2 linked regions of the Elephas maximus indicus genome follow. The protein of the gene in region 1 interacts with the protein of each later gene in a biochemical or structural test. Links are inferred from orthologs where the notes say so. Each region holds a gene or a part of one and is shown in the gene's direction. Other genes may lie near its edges.

Region 1 (10,878 bases):
AAATGCTTTCACTGCCCTAAACGAAGCCTATATTTTTAGCACTAATGTTTAATGGACTATAGTTACATATGTTAAAATCTAGCTTCTCCTTCAGCTTTTAAGTCCAGCTTACAAACCATACTACCATCTTACAAATCACTTTAAAGATGTTTGAGGAAAACAGTCATAAACAATCATAAATGGTCAGTTGTCAGCAAAGTTTCCCTTATTAAGACTTACTTCCTAAGTGAGTCTTATAAATCTACGGAATTAAACTTATAGCGCTGTTGAATCTTAAATTTCCTCACATTTCAATACCGCTTACAAAGTCAGTAAGATCTCAACTTAATATCATGATCTCAATCCATTATTTGCTCACTAGTTTCATATTAGAATCACAAAGCTTATCTGTTCAAAACCCAAATTCTCTTCAACATTGTGGCACATGCAGATTGTTTCTAAACTTAGCCCCCAAAGACAGTTGGCCTAATTTAGTTTCTCGTCTGTACATTGAATTCTTAACCTCCCTGAGTTAAAGACACTTACCCACAGAAGACCCCTGTGCAATTTGAGGTTACCTTAAAAAAAAAAAAAAAATTTTTTTTTTTTCCTTCTTACCTAGCTGAGGCTGTCGCCAGACATTCCGAAAGGGAATGCTCCTTGGAACTGTGGCCCCCAGAGTGACTTTTCTCATGACTATGCCTGCCGAGTTGAGGCTTTTTTTATATTCTCCCTGTCTCAGACTCCAAAATACCCATCAGTCACCTCTCTCCACTGAAACTGTCTGCTTTGTTCACCATTGCATCCCTAGCAACTAGAACAGTGATTGCCTGGGCACCTAATAACTGCTCAATTAATATTTTGTAGATAAATTGTGTTTCTGAATACTCTTCCTATTTGTTAGGGATACACCTTGTACAGAAATTTAAATGATATTTGAATGGATTCCAAGGTTTTAGGAAGTATTGCCATTCTACTTCTAAAGCCATGCCAAGCACAGACACAACTGCAGATTGTATAGTTTGCCAAATCATATTTAAGTGTGTATTCAAAAGAACCAGGTTGTCATCACTGCATTGAATCTCGTCAGATACCTTCACCCAACAGGAGGCTGGCATTCTACGTCGCCTGCTTTGTTGGACAGACCTTTGGAGCTGCTTCTCCAAGTTTTGCTTGAATCTTTGCCTGATGCCAATTGGCAGGATTTGAGTTGTATTTACTACATTACTGTACACAGCATAAAAACATCCAAACTAAAACAGGATCAAAGTTTTTTTTTAATGTAAATTTTTATAATTTTTATTGTGCTTTAAGTGAAAGCTTACAAATCAAGTCAGTCTCTCACACAAAAACGCCTATACACCTTGCTACACACTCCCAATTACTCTCCCCCTAATAAGACAGGCTGCTCTCTCCCTCCATTCTCTCTTTTCGTGTCCATTTCACCAGCTTAGGATCAAAGTTTTGAAGGTAGCTGTACATGTGTATTTAATTTACTATTATATACAGTAAATATAAGTGAATGTATATAATGGGCTAAGTTTTACTAGGTGTGATTGTCCACAAACTTCCCTCTCCTACTCCAGTCACCAAAGAGAATGTAAATTACACAAAGCAGGGGCTAGGTCCCTAGGTGGCACAAACGGTTTGTGCTTGACTGCTAACCTAAAGGTTGGCGGTTTGAGCCCAGCCAGCATAACTGTGAAGAAAAGGCCTGGTGAGCTGCTTCCATCAAGATTACAGCCAAGGAAACCCTACGGAGCAGCTCTACTCTGTAGCACACGGGGTTGCAACCAACAACAACATGTCTGTTTTGCTCAACATTGGACCAATATATAATGTACAGCATTTTTTCCACAAATAAGGCACCCACATAAATAATGCGTCCACATCCACACACATATAACACACAGAGCACTTAGGAAAATAACATGCAAGAGGGTTGACTGGTCAAAAACGTATATATTATTTGATGAAAAATATACAGTACACACTATATAATACATTTTAGTCCCAGGACCTAACACAGCATTTGGCACACTGTCAGGAATTCAGAAAATGTTTGTTGAATGAATGAATGAATGAGAACCTGGTCATTTTCAGCTTAGTCCTCACTCTCTGCTCAGCTACCCTGATGCTCACACTCATCCCAAGCTACCCTGTCTAAAACTGGTTCCTAGATATTTTGTGGTACAAAATTAAAAAATGAGTATAGAAGGCCTTATCCTGAAGGGAGATGTGCAGGGAGGATTTGTTGGAATTAAGTGTATAAAATATACATCGTAGCTTTATATAAATACAATACGTATTTATACAGATAATATACTTTTACATACATAATATACAAAGAGCCCTGGTAGCGCAGTGGTTAAGCACTTGGCTGCTAACCGAAAGGTCAGTGGTTCAAACCCAGTAGCTGCTTTGCAGGAGAAAGAAGTGGCAGTCTGTTTCTGTAAAGATTACAGCCTTGGAAACTCTATGGGGCAGTTCTGCTCTGACCTATAGTGGTGCTATGAGTTGGAATCGATTTGATGGTAACAGGATGTATAATAGATAATGAAGAATACAAAAAATAACAAAGGGGAGGAGAGAGGGTAAAAGGGGGTCTAAATGTGGGTAGAAGAGGGAATCTTTGGGGGGCTTTGGAAAAGCTTACTGAGTGCGGTTGGTGAGACTCGGTATTTTGGAAGAAGAAAAGGAAAAGGGGATTAAAAAGTCTGGTTCGGGATTATGAATTGGATTTTGTTTGATGCTCTTCGAGGGACATGAGAAACAAATCCGGTGCGTAGTCCATAAAGTGAGCCTTTAAGTCTTCTTGGTTACTATAAATCTCAAAATTGAGCTTTTCCTACACTTATGCAATTCCTATTGCCCGGTGCCTTGGTTCACTTAAAAATAGGCCAGTTTTTTGCACACAGCAGCAAGTTTTACAGTTAAAACTTAAAGCCTATTGGTTTCAAGTGAACCATCTGGTTCTGAAGCATCAGTTTAGTGCCCTGATTTGATCCTAACCTCCAGATCTTGGGTCCCCCTGGTAGTGCATGTGGTTAAGCATTTGGCCGCTAACCAAAAGGTCAGCAGTTCAAATCTACCAGCCACTCATTGGAAACCCTATGGGGCAGTTCTACTCTGTCCTATACGGTCGCTATAAGTTGGAATCGACTCAGTGGCAATGGGTTTGGTTTGGTTTTGGTCTAGGCGATGCCTCTCCAAAGAGTCTAGAGCTGGCTCCTCAAAGGCAAGGGAGACAGGAGAATTCTGACAGTCTGTGTTCAGTCTACCATTCCTTGTTCTTTCCTGCAACTTCCCCGTGAAGCAGCAGACTCTAAAACATGACTATCACTCAGGACAGATTGACAACCACCACCCCAAGGAGTCTCCTTTCCGTAATCCCCTCCACTGTAATGATTCCATGGGAACTTCTCAGGTGGGCCACAAAGGCAAATCACGACCCAGATCCCACCAGCCCCTGATGTTGTTGTTAGGTGGCGTCGATTTCAACTCACAGTGACCTATGTGACAGAGCAGAACTGCCCCACAGGGTTTTCTAGGCACATTGCCAGGTTTTTCTCCCATGGAGCCACTGGGTGGGGTCAAACTAGCAACTTTTCTATTAGCAGCTAAGCACTTACCTTTGAGCCAGCAGGCCTCCTTCCAATCCTTGTTAGAGGTAGTGTGACACTGGTTGGCAATTCCCTACTCCAGGTGCACTCTCCCCCCAACTGAGCAAGGTACAGGCATTGATGCACTCATGCCCAGCCCCACTACCCATCAACAGACTTGAGGTAGCCGTTTCTTCCTTTACCCACGACTAACGATAGTAATAACTGTGGCAAGAAAGCAAAGCCATAACCTGAAAAGAAAGAGGCACGTGTCTCCATCTGGCTTACTGACTACTAAAAGCAATTACTCTACTCCTTACACAGGAGATGGTGGGGTAGCTGCCGGGGCCGGGCCTTAGCTCTTCTTCCCTATTACTTTGCTCAGGGTTTGCACTATCCACAACCCCACCCTCCAACTCTCCCATTATTTTTCTCGAATCCTCGCACCAAAGCTTCAGGGAAATAGAATTGTCTTCATAAAATGTGTAAGGACCATTGTCTTAGACAAAGAGGAAAAAACTGGGTGACTCATTCTACAGTACTGCATTTGATTAATGATTATTAAGCAATAAACAACCATGGTTTAAGAAGTTTACAGTGTTTTGTGGAGAATTTGATCTAGTTTCCTGACATGCCCTGCACTTCATTCCTTTCCTGACCTCTTCCTTTTTTGCTTCCTTAGACTAAAGGGCCACCATAAGTAGAGGAATTTCTGAACAGACAGGATATCAAACAAATGCAGTCTCTTTAAGCACCAACCAGGGTTGGCTCAAGAGAAGTAAATGCGTCAGCAAAGTGCATGTGCCTCAAATGGCCAGTCACTAGCTTACACTGTTCAAAATATAAAAGACATTCTTATTTATCATCAAGCATCACAATTGACCAATCTCAAAAATGGGCAGACCTGCTTAGTCTATGTGACATACTCTAAAACAGTACATTATCATAGAAAAAAAAAAAAAATCTCTTAGGGGCCTAAACACCACATTCTCTTTCTTGAAGACACTTGAACTGGTGTTTCCAATTCATGAAGTTGTTTTGTGAACTTAGTGACTCTGACAGTGAAATAAACCAGTAATGAAAGGATAGGAGGCGCTTGTCTCCCTCAGGTATTTTAGCATCCTTTTTTGGGGGGGGGGGTGGTAGGGCAGGATAAGTATTCAGCGAGTGATTAGTTGGTACGCCCCCACTTGCGTCCTTTTTCATATCCATGCCCGCTACCCTTTCACCAGCGGTTTTTGTAATTTACAAATATTCTGGTTGCACTCTACACCTGCCAGTATTGCAGTAATTACTTTAGGATGCAAACTTATTTCTAAAGTTCTGGACTCTCTTGTAAAATCAGGAAAGACTAATAACCAATTTTGTAGCTGTAGTAGGCAATGAATAACGGGATAAATACCGAGGACGAGTTCTTTAACCGTCCTGAGTGGTGATAATATCTGACGTACAAATTAGATATGAGTCACCTATGGAAAAAAAAAAAAAGGGGGTGAAATACAGGTCAACAATTGAAGGTAGGTAAAAGGATCAATGTTCAATGATTTAAGATTGCTACCTTTCTCCTGCCACATACACAAAACGTAAAGGTCTAGGGGTTGGGCATTTTAGCCACATAAAACCTCAAACTAGTACTGGCTGATAAACAGGGCCATCGTGCCCTAGAAGTACCGGTGGGACCGGGAGATGGGGAAGTGGCACCTGCCTTGTGTGTGATGCCGGAGGAGGGAAGGTGAGCGTCCAGGCGGGTCGGACCGAGAGCCCGGGGCGGGGGGGGGGGGTGTGCGGGGACCCCTTCTGGGACTCGGGGCTCCTTTCCTCCACGTGCGGTTGGCGCAGAACTCCGACCCCAGAGAGTAGAAAACGCGGGCCGAGGAGCAGAGAGATATGAGCAGAAGCGTGGGAGGAGGAAGATGAGGAGAGGAGAAGGCACAGCGCGAGGAGCGGAAGGAGAGTAGGAGACGAGAGGGTGGAGAGCCCGGAGGAGAGAAAGAGTAGGCAAAGAAAAAGACGGTGGAGGAGAGCCGCCCCGCCCCTCCCGGATCCCTCCTCCGCTCCCAAATTCGGACCGGCCCTCCCCGGCCGCCGCCGCCTCCCCTTTCCGGGCTGCTCCGAAAACGCGGAGGCGCCGAGTCCTGCTGCGCCCGCGTCCTCCCAGCGCAGCGCCGCGCAGCGCCCGCCACCCAGGCCCGCGCGCGCCCCAGCCTGCGCGCGCCCTCTCTCTCGCGCGCCCCACGCCCGCGGCCACACGGGCACGCGCGGCCCCCGCACTCGGGGCATGCGCGGTGGGCGGGGCCGCTTCAGGCCGCCTCTGCCGCCGAGAGTAGGAAGCGCGAGCGCCGGGCGCTGTGCTGTCAGTGAGCGTGGGGCCAGCGAGCGGCCAGCGAGCGAGCGGCTCCGGCTCCGGCTCCGGCTCCGGCTCCGCTCCGCGCTGCTCCAGCCCGACTCTCCCTGGCCGCCGCCCGGCCGCAGCCGCCACCGCGACCCCGGCCGCCGGCCCGCGCCCCCCACCCGGGGTCTCCGCGGCCCCGCGCCTCTCCCCCGCCCGCCCCCGCCCCCGCCCCCCGGCCTCCCCGCTGCTGCTCCCCGGCGGAGGCAAGAGGTGGTTGGGGGGGACCATGGCTGACGTTTTCCCGGCCAACGACTCCACGGCGTCTCAGGACGTGGCCAACCGGTTCGCCCGCAAAGGGGCGCTGAGGCAGAAGAACGTGCACGAGGTGAAGGACCACAAATTCATCGCCCGCTTCTTCAAGCAGCCCACCTTCTGCAGCCACTGCACCGACTTCATCTGGTAGGTGCGCGCGGGCCGGGCTCAAGACGGGCACCTCCGGGGCACCCCCGGACCCGCTCGCGGCTCCTGGGGCTGGGGACCAGTCCGTCTCCCGCGGACCCGCTCTCGGGCCCCCCAGTCCGGGCGCGTCCACCCCAGGGCTGACTGGCTCGGGGAACTTGGAGAGCCGGCGGGAGTCCCAACTCTTGCCCTGAATGACACTCGCGCGCGCCCGGCCGTCCCGGCCACTGACACACACGCGGGCCGGACTCCCGGGGAAGTCGCCGTCCGGCCACACACCCCCTGCCGCAGGAGGGAGGGCTGGCCCTGCGCGCCAGTGACATTGATCCCCTCCACCGGGCCAGTGGCCTCCCCCCAGAACCCCCCGCCCTCAGACCGTGGGGCAGCGGTTTTGGCGGGGTGTGAGCAAAAGGGGAAGAAAAGAAAATCCAGAGAGCCGGAGTGTCCCAGAGAAACACGCCCCAGTGTAACCGGGGAGCCGTGGCGATTGCTGCGCGCAATCCAAGTTGTTGGCGAGCCAGGCAGGGTGTGTTCGGGGGGTGTGTGTTTGTGCTTCCCATCGGCCTGGGACTCTACTGCAATCTTGAGTCCCTGCCTACTGTAGCTGGTATCTACTGGGCACGGAGAGACTTTGACTTTTCTAGGCGATCCCGGAGAGAAAGTCGAGAGGCAGCAAACTGTTGAAAGCTTGCAATGGGGGAAGGGGAATTAAAACAGTGCCGGCAAATGGCAGAAGGCAGAGGGAGTCATTTAAAATAGACCCTGTCGACACGAGATTGGACCTGTAACCCTGTTGATGAGGACAGAGGCCTTATTTAAGAAAAATACTGTAACCGCTCAAGGTGTCCAAGTTCAGGTCATTTCCAATGAACAGTAGGTATTCTTAACTTGAAGGTCCTGTGGCTTTGGGAGGAATTAACAAGTGGATGGGCCTGGAGGGGGGTTGGGGGGGGCCTCTGAATCCTGTAGAACTAAGTGAAACTGTGTATGTGCATTTTTTTTTTCAGGTGAGAGAATTATAGCTTTATCTGGTTTTCAAAAGGTCTGTGGCACCCCAAAAGGCTAGAAACCCAGAACTGAAGGAACTCCAGGTTCTTCAGTTTGGGGATCCGTAGTTTTGTTTTCTCTTAGTTTGCCAGACACAGTGCTTCTACTGCTTGTTTGTGGGTGTAGGCTAGGGCTCCTTAGCTCCCTCCTCTCATCCTCCGTGGAGTTGCACTGGGTGACTGTTCAGACACCAGCCCACTGTGTGGTGTACATATTTATCTTGTTGGGACACTAGGGAGAACTTATGAAGGGCTCTGTCCGAATCCATCACTCCTGGAGAAAAACATCTCAAAGGGCGTGTTCCATGAACGTGGTGGTAATTCCGTGCTTAATTTTTCCCTTCCTTTTTAGAAATCAGCTCAAATGTATACTTTTATGAAAAGCACAGCTACCTCTGTAAATGCTTTCCACCGGGGTAGTCAGCATATGAAGCTGTTGTGCTTGAGAGAGTAGGTAATTGTAGATAAGGCTTTTTAAAATAACTTTTTGGAGCATCAGGGCAAAGAGAAGCCATTGCGTTTAGTTAAGGCGAGGTCTTTGGCCTCTCTTGACTGTGAGATTCCGTTAAAAGAGAACAGTTATCTCAGACTGTTGATTACTTTTGCAGGAATTAAGTAAGTTAGAAAAGTGACTTGCAGCCTACCCAGGCCAGCTAATGTCTTTCCACTATCAGTTGTCTGGAGGGATCAGGCCCTTGAGAATCGATGTGGCTGGCCAGGTCACCAGGTGTGTTGCAAAGTGGAAGATAACGATCTCTCCTTATTCTCCCTCCCTGAATAATCTCTGTATGTCTCCACTTAATTGTAAAGCAACCACTTGGAGGTTCCAGGAAAACATCTGCTGGAATTGTTCAGCAGTGGCTTTAATTTTTCCGTTTTCTTTCAGTATTGCTTCTATGGGCCCTTAAATCTTAAAGCACTGACATTTTAAAGTTAAACGTTTGAATTTAGGTATGTTTTTTGGAGGGATGACTCTAAGTTGGTTATAAAGGTATGTGAAGTGCTTTGTAAACTTAAAAAGCTGTGTCAGGCAAGGGGTTATGACTAATAACCTCCTGAAAAAATTGTAATACAGTCCATTCTAGTGGAACGGTGTCTGCGGTTTAATGTCCATGTCAGGGTTCTCCCCTTAGAGAGTAAATTCTCTGAAGTAACTTACAAGAACAAAATTGTCTCTGTGTGTGCTTTGAATGCTGTTGGTTCTCAGTAAAAATTAGATCATGGTCATCTCAAATGCAAGTAATAGGAATGCTATTTTGTTGTAAAATATGGCTCCTTAAGGCAAAATTAAATGTTGAAAGAGTGATGCTGTTTGCTAATTTCTTATTTTAAACAAGCTCCTAACACACAGTGGAGCCACTTTTTCATCGTCATTAGGGAGAAGAAGAGATTTTTAGTTGGTCTTTAGGAACAAAATTAAGCCACTTCCTCCTTTCCCATAAACTCCTTTTTGTGACTTGAATATTGTAGCCAATATTCAAGTATGTGAATGTACAGTGATATTCTTTGTTGAAATGTAACTGCTGATTACATAGCGTAAAAAATTGGAAAGAAACTTGATAAATTGAAGAATTTCAGTGATCCTTTGCAGCCAAGGTAGATTTTTTTTTCCTAAATTGAATTTATACAGTAATCTGATTCGATATTACATGTGTTTTTCTTATTGAATCATTGGGTGTTGTGGACAAATTTTTAACTTTATAGAATAATTTGCCACACAACTTGCTTAAAATATGCCTCACATGAAGTATGTTAAGATGTTTTATTCTTGTTTCTGTTTTTCAGGGGGTTTGGGAAACAAGGCTTCCAGTGCCAAGGTAAGCTGCCATGTTGGAATTTGTTTTCAAATACAACATGAATAAGCATTCCAAACAGGAATGATATTTTAAGTCATCTTTTCTTCGTGACCCAAAACATATGTTATTTAGATAAGATTTTTGAAATATGAAGGCTGTACATTTGGGACTTTAAAAAATCATATGGTCTTGCCTAGTAATCTGCATATAGAGCTGTCTTTTTCTCATTGAAAAAAAAAATTCCTTTAATTTTATTTTTTTGCAGAGAACATTCCTCTCAGAAACTGCTGTCTTTGTGTGGGTGTTAAGAAAAAAATGGAATCACTTTGTATTCATGTGGCTTTTCTTTCTTGTTCTTCCTCTTTTGTTTTTGTTCATCTGTTTTACCTATACTTTGGGTTGGACTCATTGCGGTTCATTTTGGGCCATACATTATTTTAGTAAGTTTTTGTTTCTGTAGGTTACCGATTGTCATCCAGAACAAAGTTGGCATGTTTTAAAGGTATATGGATAATTCAGTGATTGATTCCTGCAGTATTACCGTGTGGCACACTTTTCCTTTAGCTTAGATATCTGACAACATGTTCGATGCTATCTGTTGCCTGAAAAAAGAAATCCACTCCACCCTCTCCCCTGATCTGTAGTTGCATTTCCCACCCATCCAGTATTTAACTTTTCATACTTTCTATTCATTTTGTTTAATTTCTTAATGCTTTCAAGCTTGTGTAGGCATCCCAGATTCATTAGCCCATCTTCTGGCTCTCCTGTTCATCGTCTATATTGTGTTTATTCAGTTCTGGTTGCATTTCCCATCTGGGCATAGGCTTATTATTAGGGCAAGTGAAAAATACATTCTAGCCTGGAAAATATTGTCCTAATACTGTGTAATGTTAAGCACATGAAGGAGAGAAAGAGAGAAGGCACTATGTGTACTTTTTTACAACTTTAAAATTGTGGTAGTAATTTGGTTACCCTTTAAAAACTGCTTTAAATGAGTGAACTTGTCTTATATACGTCTTCTAAATGTATTTTAGGCGGGGCTGTTTTATGGTGTGCTTATTCATTAATAGTCTACCTTTCTTACATCAAGATGTTTATATAGAGTGCTTAAAGCCCCATAGAATAAATCATTCTGAGAGTTGTATTTGGAAATCAAGGGTAGTCTTATAAAAAAGAGAATAGTAAGAGAAAGGTGTATTGCACCAGCCTTTCTTTAAAAGATAAAAGGAAGACACAGCTCTTTCCAGTTCTCAAAGTTGTGAGCCTGAAATTTGTAGGCAAGACTTGGGTCTAGACTAGATTTTAGGAAGTTTAAAGTTGTAAAGTTACTTTGTGATTCTGGACTAATGGGATTCACGTCTATTATTATTTTTGGTAATGTTTTTGAGTGGAAGCCTTGGAAACTTATAAGAAAAATACTGAATTTTCTCAAATAATATTACATTCTAAGAGAAAGAGGGCATGTTACTTTAAAAACTTACCATTTTCTGCATAAGAAGAATTCAGAATAAGGTTGGTCTCTCTTGGACCTATTTGCCTGATCAGATTTTTTTGGTAAATCATAGAGTATCTGCATTATTAAACTACAAAATGGTCCTGCATTGCTTCTCCTAGAGAGCATCTCTGGAACTGTTAGTGGATTAATGGATTGATAATCTCTTAAA
Region 2 (10,677 bases), on another chromosome or scaffold:
CCTCTTGACCCCTCCAAAGCTGGTAACTGGACACTGGATAAGCTGTAGAAAAACCTCCCATCTTCACAACCCAGGTAGCAAGCTTTCCCTCACTTCCTCTTTTCAAATCTCTCTTTCTTTGGTGGGATCTCATTCACATTCAAAACTCTAGCTTTGAAGGAGTGTGGGGAATGGCGTTGAATGTCAGTTCACCCCATCACAGGCTAAAACCCATCCCCCAGGCCAGACTGCCTGATGCCCCTATCTGCCCGCTTCCAAGGCCTCCTGGGTTGCTCTAAGCATTCCCTGGACCCTGCCCTGTGCTTCCCTAGGCCCCCATCACATCATGTACCACACTGGTAAAATTGCCTGTTTACCTGTCCATCTCCTTCTCCACCTAATGTAAGCCCCTTGAGGATGTGAAATGTATTTATCTAGTTCAAGGCGACCTTCCCAGGATCTATCATGAGGCCTGGGGGATCCATCTGACCAGACTGGGAGAAGGCAGCAAAGCTACCCAGCCCAGGAGTAGGGGCAACTAAGGGGAAAGAGGCAGAATCTCAAGCTATTTAACCTCCCCAGCCTCAGTTTCAGCACCTGTAAAATGGGGGCAATAACACTACTGATCTGGTAGGTTTGTGGAGAGAACTGAGAAAACATAAGCATTTAGTATGGGCTCATCAACTCCTCCTTCCCCCCAGGTTTTATTTCAGGTTATAAAGGAGCTGGGCTTTCCTGGTAACCCAGTCCTCAATAATGCCATAAAGTCCATGGTGTCCCGAGGCCATGGGTGGGCCAGCCACTGGCTCACAGGAAGGGGGCAGAGAGGTGCTGCCTCCCAGGCCCTCCTTTTCACTTGGGAGTTTTTCCCTCGAAAGTTGGAACCAGAAGAGGCCCTCCTTCCACTCTAGGCCTGCCAGGCTTGCTGGCAGAAGAGCTTGTGGTCAGCAGGGTCTGGAGGCCTGATCCTGCCAGATGACCAGATGCACTAGTAGCTAGATGACTCTTGAGGATAGTGGTCAGAGACTGTGTAGCAGGGACCTTTGACCAAGCTGGATCCTATATCCTGAGTCCGCCCAGGTTGACATGGGCCGGTCAGGTTTATGCTGTTCTCTGGTCATAATTATTAATAGTGTTCCCTCTTACTCTCAGGTGTCCTGTTTGCCCACTAAAGCTAAACATACCTATACTATGATCCAGGAATTCTTCTAGGTACGTACACAACAGAAATGGACGCCTTTGCTTATCAAGACATATTCTAGAATGTTCCTAAAACCAAAACCAAGCCTGTTGTCATTGAGTCCATTCTGACACACAGTGACCCTAGAGGACAGAATAGAACTGTCCCATAGGGTTTCCAAGGAGTGCCTGGTGAATTCAAACTGCCAACCTTTGGGTTAGCAACCGAACTCTGAACCACTACAGCCACCAGGGTTTTCAGGATGTTCACAGCAGCAGTAACTGTATTAGCTCCAAACAGGGAAAAACCCAAATATCCTTCAAGAGGATGGATAAATAAATTGTTGTTCATTCATACCATATTAACTACACAGCAACGAGAATGAACAGTCTACAGCCACACAATAACATGGATGAATCTCACAGACATTAGGCTGAGCGAAAGAAACCAACCTGGGAGAATACATACTGTATGATTCCATTCATATAATGTACATAGACAAAACTAAACAATGCTGTTAGAAGTTGGGATAGTGGTTACACAAGGCAGCCGGCAACTGCTTCTTGATCTGGGTGCTGGTCACACAATGTTCACCCAGTGAAAATTTGAGCTGAACACTTAGGATTTATGCATTTTCTGTACGTATGTTATTTGTCAGTAATAAGTTTACTTTTAAAACTGCCCTGGTTTGGACAATTTATAGAGTTTGTAGTCACCCAATGATACTCAGCAATTCCTGATTCTCTCCCCCTTCCCATCCACCTTCCATGCTGGGCTGGATACCCCATGCCATACATAGTCACACCCCCACCCCCTCCATTTGGAAAACCTTAAATAACCCAATCACTAACCATCCACACGGGTCTTTCCTCCTACTCTTCTAAAAACAGCAGTTGACTGAGAAGCAAGAGGTAAAATGATAAGCAAGAGGTAAAATGATAAGCAAACATGCTGACTAGAGAGATGGGAGGAAAGAAAACTTGAATCCCCAGGGAATGCTAAGAACACCCAAACTACCACATTTGCATTTCCAAACCAGGACTGAGAGATTGTCAGGGAAAGAACTAACACACTTCAGGAAGAATTTCAATAGCTCAGGGGGAAATGACCTTAACTTTTAGCTGTCCTGAAAAGTTAAGGTTACCCAACACCCCATTACCTGGATACTCCTTTTGGGTTCATTGATGTTCATTGAGCTATACTTGCGGAAACTGTTATTACCTGAATCTGATCATTGGGAAATTCGTCTTGTGGCAAAGACTGGGTCTAATACCAACCAACTCCTCCAGGTTCCCTCAGATCTTGGCCAACCTGGTTGACGTTATGGTTAGACTCAGGCCTAGAATAGCTTCTTCTCCCTGGTCCCCACTGTTTCCCACCTATCCAAATCCCATCACGGGCTGCTCAAGCCCATCTCCTCCAGGAGACTTCCTTGACCAACCACCTCAGGTTCTCAATCTCTTACCTCTGACCTCCTTTAGCATCGACCAAGGCTCTCCTTAAGCATTCCACCCCTCAATCTAAGTTTCAAGAATGCAGGGAACTTTGCTTTATTTACTAATTGTACCCCAAGAGTTTGGGCCAGTTCCTGGCATGGAGTAGGCCCTCAGTGAATACTGAATGAATGCTTTTTGCCTCATGGCATCTCCTGGATTATGATTCAGCTTTCTCTTGGACATTCCTGGTCAAGATTCCCCTAGACAGGAAATTTGCTGGGACAGGGATTGTCTTCTTCATCTTTTTACCCCCACTACTCATCCCTCTTTGAGATACCTATTGAAAGAGGAAAAGTACAGAGTGTGAATTCGGAACATTTGTAATCTAGAAAGCATTTAGGTGCGGGTCAGTGGGTAGAGAATTATTTGGATTTCAAGGTGTGGGTAATCCTGGAGGGGACCAGCTTACTGTATTTGCCTACATCTTTATTTATACCTGCCTCCTTCCAGAGAGGGTTTGAGGTGAATTACAAAAATACACACAATGCAAGGTTAAAAAAAAAAAAGTAAATGAGGAAATCAGGACGAGGGGGAAAATAAGAGTAGGAAAAACATCAAATTGGCTTGCTAGAAGTGGGCCAAATAGTTGGCCGAGTTTTCCCACAGCCCACTTGGGAAGTCCCTCTCCCGCCTTTATCGCCCTCTCTGGGAAGGCACCCCTGAGGTTAGGTGCGTCCAGGCGAGGGGGCTAACAAGACCATCCCCGTGCCTTCCTGACGGCCAGCCCCAGAACCTCGTACAAGAAGCCCAGACAGCCGTGGGGAGGGCTGGCCTTGGGCAGGGTTGCATATAGGGGCGTGGGGCTCTGGGGGGGATGGCCCAGACGTGGGGGACCGGGTTGCTAGCAGGGGCCTGTGATCTGGGGGTGGACGAGTAGGCGCTGAAGACGCGTCCCTCCACTCAATGCTGCAAAGGCTCCAGAGCGCGCCACTCAGTGCCCTCCAACCAACTCTTCTCGCGGCCTACTAAGCGCGCGCGCCATGCTCAGGACACAAAGATGGAGGGAGCCGCGCGCTTCACCCCGCCCCACCCCCACCAACCGGCTCCAGACAAAGGGGCAGGCCGCCCCTCCCCCAGCCTCTCCCTCTCTTCCCCCTCCTCCCTTCTCTCCCCTCCCCTCGGGCGCCCTTCGGTGACTTCCTCTCCCCTTCTGGGGCGGCCTCAGGACTTCTCAGGAACTGCCTTTCACCTGGGCGCAGGGCGGGGAACCAGCGCGCGGAGCGCGGCCTTCGGGCCCACCCCCGGCCTGGGCAGGCCCCAGGCCCGCGCCCTCCCCTTTGAACCCGCTCTCTCAGCCCCCGGCGCCTTCCCGCCTAGGCGCCCCCACCCCCACCCGGCCGAGCACGTGCTGCCCCGGGCCCAGAGCGCCATCCCGCTGCCCTGGGGTGGGGGCTGGGCCCACTCCCGGCTCTGTTCCCCACCCCCACCGGAAACATTCCTGAAACATTCCTGAAACTAGGAGGCCCGGCCCCTCCAGCTCCCCACCCCGCCTCCACTCCGGGTTCAGGGTTTTCCTAGCGTCCCCCTCCACCGCCCGATCGCCTCCTGAGGAGGGGGCTGGGCCGGGGCCTCGGCTGACCGGGGAGGAGAAGGGGAGCAAAGAAAAACATGAGTCACAGCCGCCGTGTGTCACTGGACCACATTGCAATTCCCTGCATCACGGGAGGTGTGGAAGGCCGCCTCAGGGCCCAAGGGCGGGGAGGTGCGCCCAAGAAGGCCCCGGGCCCCGGCCTGCAGGGCGCGCCGCTCCGACTGCGCCTTTTCTTCCCCCACCGCCTTCCCCGCCATCTTTCCACTTTGGCTTCCTTCTCGTTTGTGCAACAAGTTTTTGTTGAGTCAGGCGCCGGGCGGCCCAGGCGTGGCGGGTGTGGCGTGCGTAAAACTCAGCCCCTGCCCTCAAAGAGCTTCCAGGGGATCCCTTGCCCACGCTTTCTTATTTAGAAAAAAAATCACAGCAGAGGGCCAGGTCACAAACTGGGACCGCATGTCCCAAAACACCACCCACGTCACCTAAAAGAAGGACTCCTCGGATTGACTTGCGAACGAGTCAATCGTTTCTTTCGCTTGAAGGCTGCACCTTGATTATGGCTCACCCGTGGCCATTAATTAAAACTCTTTGAATTTCACAAGTTTCACAAGACTTGTATTTCACCAGCCAGCCACACGCGGGTTGACACTGAAATGCACATGCCGACACCTGTCCGCCCAGGGGAGATCTATGAGCAGCGTATCTGGGCGAAGGGGGCGGAGGATAGGCCGCGGAATTCTCTGAACAGGTTCGCGTCTCTCCACTCTCACGCCGCGTGGACCCCGCAGGCACGAACGCCCACCGGTGCGTGGAGAGGGAAGACCCACATGCCCAGAAGGTCCCAAGAGGTGACTAGCCTGGGGACCCCACTTTGGGCAGAAAGGCCGCCCTCCCCCTCGCATAAAGCTGCTTCCTGATTTCTCTGCGCTCCTTGCCAGTTCTCTCAGGCCGAGAGTGTGACGAGTGGGCCATAGCCTCGGGTTCCCAGCCCAGGCCTCCCGCGCACTCGCCTCCCGCGCACTCGCTCCCCCCCACCCCGACGTCAGGAACCGCGGGCCCCTCCCCGCCGTCAGCACCCACCCGAGCGGTGGCGGCTGGCGGGCGGCCGCCCTTTTAAATCCCCGGGCTCATTTGCATGGCCCCGCCCCCTTAGTGACACGGCTGGCGCGGGCGGGCCCGTCCCCCCTGCCCCTGGGTCGCTCTTTTTAAGCTCCCCTGAGCCGGGGCTGCGCTCCTCTAATTGGGACTCCTAGCCCGGGCTATTTCTGGCGCTGGCGCGGCTCCAAGAAGGCGTGAGTTCGCGGCCGCTCCGGTGGCTTCCTTTTTTTTATATCTATAATTTAATTAAATTATTTATTTATTGAGGCCGCGCACGGGCCGTGCCCAGCTTCCTGCCCCTCGCCATCCTTCGGGGAGGGGGAATAGCCCCCCTCTGGATGTGGCATATAAATACCCCGCGGGGGCCTGGGCGGCGGGCACGCGGCGGCGGCAGGCTCTGAGCACCTCTGCTCTCTCCTGGTTTCAGATCCGCATTCGCTACCAGCGGCGGCGGAGCCAGGCCGGTCCTCAGCGCCCAGCACCGCCGCTCCCGGCAGCCCCGAGCGCGCACCGCAGGCCGGCGGCCGAGCTCGCGGTGAGTCGTCCCCGGGGGCCGCGGCGGCGGCGGCGGCGGCTGGGGGCGCCCGCGCCCCCGCCTGCTCGCCGCCCCTTCTGCCAGCCGCCCGGGGCTGCAGCGCGCGCCGCCGGCTTTATTCCCAGGCCGGGGCAGCGCGAGTCGCCGGCGGGGGAGGGCCGCGCGGCGCGGGGGCGGGCGGCAGGGCCTGGCGGCGCGGGGTGGGCGCCCGCACCCCTTCCCCCGTACCGCGGGCGCACCGCGGGGGGTGGGGACCCGGGAAAAGCGCGCGGTGGGGGAGGGGGCGCGCGGCTGCAGCGAGCGCGAGTTGTGCACCCGGCAGAGCCGGGTGCACCTCGCGCGGCGGCCGCTCTCGCCAGAGCCTGGGCGAGAAGGTGGAGAGAGTAGCAGGCTGCGGCGCCGCGGGAGAGTGGGGGGTGGGTCGGGCGCCCCCCGCAGCCTGGGGAAGTTCTAGAAGTGAGGGGGATGGGCAAGCACCCCGCAATTCGCCCTTAACTGTCCTCGGCCTTTTTCCTGGTCCCTCCTCCGCTGATGAGGCCGGATCGTGGGCCTGGGTTTGGGGCTTCACCCTGACCCCACCTCTGGCCTGGCCCGCTCCTCTTCAGCCCCCAGGGCCGGGCCTGCCCTCCGCCCCCACAAACTGGTTTCTCTGCTTTGCTGGGCTCTGTTGGAACTAGTCCCTATGATTCCCCGTTTCTATTTTTTGGGGGGGTTTTATTTTGCGGGGAGGGCACGGAGGGAGGTGGCTTTCTTCCTCTCTCCTGCGCCCGCGCGCGCCAGGTTTCCTGCCCCAAGGCGGGCTTGGGTGCCCCCTCTGGCAGGAAGTGGGGCCGGGTGCACCCGCGTGGCGGTGCATGCGGTCAGGGTGCGCCGGTTTCCCGCGCCTGCAGGAACGGCTTGCGCCCCTCCCCCCGCTCGCCCCGGCCCCTAGTCCCGCCGTCTGGCCTGCAACGGTCGGGTACAAACACTTGCAGAGTCACTCGGGGTAGTAGTCTGGAGCAGGGGGCTACAGGGACATAACCAGCCTCCAGGTGGGGAAGAAAAGTGTGGCGGGCTGGAGGGATCGCCAGGTACCTACTCCAACCTATGCTCGACAACTTGCTGTGTGACCTTGGGCAACTCATCAAGCCTCTCTGGGCTACTTCTTCTTTGGAAAACAAGGAAAGGGGGCTCCCAAGATGATTCCTAGGGCCATTTTTGCAGGCTCCCTAAGCGTTTGTGGAGCACACGTTGCATACACAGTGTAGGTAGGGGACATGCTTGAGGCCCAAGCAGGCTTATTACTAATGGAGGGATTGAGGTTGGGCCCTAAATGTGGCTTCTCCAAGCCAGGCCTTCCTGATGTTTAGAAACAGGTGGAAGAGACAGGCATTTCTTGGCTTCTCTAGAGAAGGCCTCAGGCTTTCATTCAGGTTCTGGGGGCCTGGTTGGGCGTGGGGAGGAAGGACGGGTGGATTAAAGGGTCCTAGTAGCAAGAGGTTGGGGGCCGCATGGTATAAGAGCTTCCAAGGAGACCGGCCAGGATCTTCAGGCTCTCTGGGATTCAGGGCTGACTTCGCTCAACTGGAACCCCCTCTGTTAGGGGGACCTGGCAAACCTCATGTGAGGTCAGCCCTCATTTAGCTGATTAATTTTGATGTTTAGTTTTTAAGGGAGACCTGTGGTGTAATATAAGATTCTAATCACTGCCTGTAATTACAGAGCAGGCCAAGCCGCTAATGATGGAGCAGGATAAATCACCAACCACCTTGTTTAAAAGGGTCTCCAAGTCTGAAATATTGTAAAATAGAATAATTATCAGACAAAGTCCCGCTGTCTGGAGGGCCTCTTTATGCTTGAGGATGGGGGCCTCGGCCCTCCAAAAATCACAAGTTTACCGGAATGTCTTTTTTTTTCCATTGGGTTAAAATTGGAAAATGCTTAAAGATCTGAAAAGGGGGAAGAAAAGTTGTTTTCAAATGTTCTAGTTCTCATTTTGACTGGAGCCAAGATTCCCCCTGCTATTTCTTAGAAAATGAAGGTTGAGCACATCTTACATGTATGTAGCGCAATTTAAAGTATCTTTTTTTAACTTATTTAATTTGATCTTCATAGCAATACGCAGAGTTAGTTGGCTCAGGTCACTTATTATTACATCCATTTTACAGATGGAGAGATTTCAGAAGCAGAGGCACTTGGGGCCACCCTTTGCCCAAGGCAGATAGGGACTGGTTGGTTACTGGGGGAGAAGTGTAGAGCCATAGGCCTCCTAGATCATCTCTGTTTCCTATCGGTAACTGGGAGGACAGGGGTGGAGATGTGGGGAACCCTCACAGTCCTCTTTAAGCCTCTGGAAGAGGGTCTCAAATACAGGATGCAGACTCAACTGGCAGTGGGTGATTTTAGGCAAACTCAGACTTAGTGGGGCGGCTTAAACTCAAACAGGCCTCTGAGAAGACTGAAAGTGCCAGGAAAGGACCAAGAAGGTTTGGGAATCAGCCCTGCTAGGACTCTTGGGGTTAGGGTCTGTCAGAAAGGTCAGAGGTAGAAACCCGTGCTTCTAGTAAGTAAGGGTCAAAGAGAAAAATGCCATCTGACTCTAGGTATGGGGTCCCAGCAGGGGAGAGTAGGAGCCTGCCGTTCAACTTGGGGCTACTTTTCCACCCCTTCCTCACCCACTGGAGTTTTAGCCATTTCCCTGTCTTCTGTACTGTTTCCAAATTGTCTCCATCTTTGAATCCTGGTGGGGGGGAGGGTGGTGGGGATAGAGAAACCTGCTGGGGTAGGCACCAACCCTGGCCATGTGATTGGCTGAGTGTCAAGGTTGGACCTTTTTACTGTGGTCCTGAGTCTTAGACCTTGCCAGATGGGCAATATTGTCAGTGGAGTGGACAGGGGCTTGATACAAATGTGTGGTTGAGTGGCTACATGGTCGCCAGATCCCTGGGTCTCATTCCTTCCATTTACCTTTCCTTCCATGTCCCAGGACCTTAGTTTTCTCTCAAAAGAGAAGGAGGGGGCAGCTGCTGGTTATAAAGGGAGAGGACCCAGGCAGGCTGTTGGACCCACACCTTTGTCCAGGGGTAGCTTTAGTCACATAGCCAGGTCTGTGGGCTGGCTGTGCCTTATGGGCCCAGGGCCTGTGGGGGTGGCAGTATTGGGGTAGGACAAAGGACTCTTCTAAACAGGAGATAAGGAGCTGATTAGGGCCAACGGCCCTGCCCCGCCTTGTGGCAGCATGCTGGGGGTGGGCAGACCCTTTTGTCCTGGTTAGGTGGGTACGCCTGGGAGCAGGCAGAGTTCCCGTGGTGTGCCTTGGTGATGAGAAGCAGGTGAAGGGAGATGCTTTGTTTAAAACAGTTTCTTCTGCCTCCCAGCATCCTAGCCATCGCTTCATCTGCTCTGTAGAGAAGGGAAGATGAGCGAATCGAGCTCGAAGTCCAGCCAGCCCTTGGCCTCCAAGCAGGAAAAGGACGGCACTGAGAAGCGGGGGCGGGGCAGGCCACGCAAGCAGCCTCCGGTGAGTCCTGGGACCGCGCTGGTAGGGAGTCAGGTGGGTGTCTGAACCTTTGCTTTGCTCTACTCCTTTTGGCTAGGGATGTGCCAGTGTGTCAGAACAGGCGGAAATGGGAATGGAGGGTGCAGAGCCATTCCTGGCCCTCGCGTGCACATACCCTACACACATCCTGACTCTGGCCAAAGCCTCTGAGAGCCCAGGAGAGAACTGGGGGCTGAGGGACGCAAGGTGAGTTCTGAAGCCCGTGCCAGAAAGTCCAAGCCAGAAGGGACCCAGGGGTCATCTAGACCAGTGTTTGTATCATGGTAAAAATGAAATTCTTCCGTCTATCATAGACTGCTACTTTTGTAAAATATGATAAAAACAAACTAATTGAAAAATGGAAAAAAAAAATAACGTGCAAGTCTAGGATTATTTATCATTTGATCCAGTGCACAAAAAAATACTTCTCAATTTGCTATAGAAGTTTTTAAGTACTTACTGTTAATTTTTGTACTTCCTGGGTTGCACCTGTTTATAGTCTACACAAGTAGGGCTGGGCTCTGTAAAGGGAATTGAGGCCCAAGAAGTTGAGTAATGCTGGGGAGTTGGTTTAGAGGGACCCTCAGAACCTTGGTGCTGCTGCCTAAAAGGTCCTACAGGGGTGAGAATGCCAGCTGGCATTGTGAGGCACCCTAGGGAGCTGGGCCAAGCCAGGGCCTTGGAAGGGGGCACCTGTTATGTGGTGGAGATCTTGGCTTCTCTCACAGGTGGCTTTGGCCCAAACAAGAGGCAGCTGTTGGTGAAGTCCACTTCTGACTGTTTATTGGGAAGAGAAGAGGTGAAAGGAATTGAGGGTGACTCACCTGTTACACATGGGGCAGGTTATACCCGCAGGCCTCAGTCTTCCCTACCTGTAAGATGGAGAGAGTTCTCTGTACTGACCAGTGTCTGGGTCTTTGGTGTATCTGAACTCCGAGGGCTATGTCTATGTGTATTGGAATTTGGCTGCCACCTTCAGAGTCCACAGTCATGGGGGGAGGGGGATCATCCTCTTTTCCTTAGACTAGCTCTCTCAGCCTCCCCTTTACCCTCCTGCCCCAGAAGGCTTATGTTAGTAGCCAGAGTCAGGGGTGCGGGCATGGGTGCAGGGGAATGGTGTAAGGTTACTAAACTGTGCTTAAATCAGCCCATGGGAAGCCACCCCTAGGAAACAGTAGCTGGCGTACCTTTACTGCCCCGCACCCATGCCTTGTGCACAAACTTTATTCCGTCTTGAGGTTATTAAAATTACAGTGGCAGAGATGTCTGGGGTTCTGGGCATTAATTCCTTTCCCTTGGCAGGCAGCCCGAAGGGGGTCCAGGTTTGCAGGTGGAGGCGGGAGG

Evidence for each region.
Region 2: of the proteins of PRKCA (region 1) and HMGA1, one has a biochemical effect on the other in vitro, tested with the Homo sapiens proteins (2 studies listed by BioGRID). The link is inferred for Elephas maximus indicus from reciprocal best matches to the Homo sapiens genes PRKCA and HMGA1.

What each region holds. Positions count from the first base shown.
Region 1 is NC_064837.1:57,573,190-57,584,067, reverse strand, and holds the start of PRKCA (protein kinase C alpha type), read left to right. Parts: upstream 1-6,137; 5' UTR 6,138-6,199; coding exon 6,200-6,372; intron 6,373-9,203; coding exon 9,204-9,235; intron 9,236-10,878. UniProt on the Homo sapiens protein: Calcium-activated, phospholipid- and diacylglycerol (DAG)-dependent serine/threonine-protein kinase that is involved in positive and negative regulation of cell proliferation, apoptosis, differentiation, migration and adhesion, tumorigenesis, cardiac hypertrophy, angiogenesis, platelet function and inflammation, by directly phosphorylating targets such as RAF1, BCL2, CSPG4, TNNT2/CTNT, or activating signaling cascade involving MAPK1/3 (ERK1/2) and RAP1GAP.
Region 2 is NC_064819.1:97,113,924-97,124,600, forward strand, and holds the start of HMGA1 (high mobility group protein HMG-I/HMG-Y), read left to right. Parts: upstream 1-5,381; 5' UTR 5,382-5,475; intron 5,476-5,708; 5' UTR 5,709-5,816; intron 5,817-9,172; 5' UTR 9,173-9,213; coding exon 9,214-9,348; intron 9,349-10,677. UniProt on the Homo sapiens protein: HMG-I/Y bind preferentially to the minor groove of A+T rich regions in double-stranded DNA. It is suggested that these proteins could function in nucleosome phasing and in the 3'-end processing of mRNA transcripts.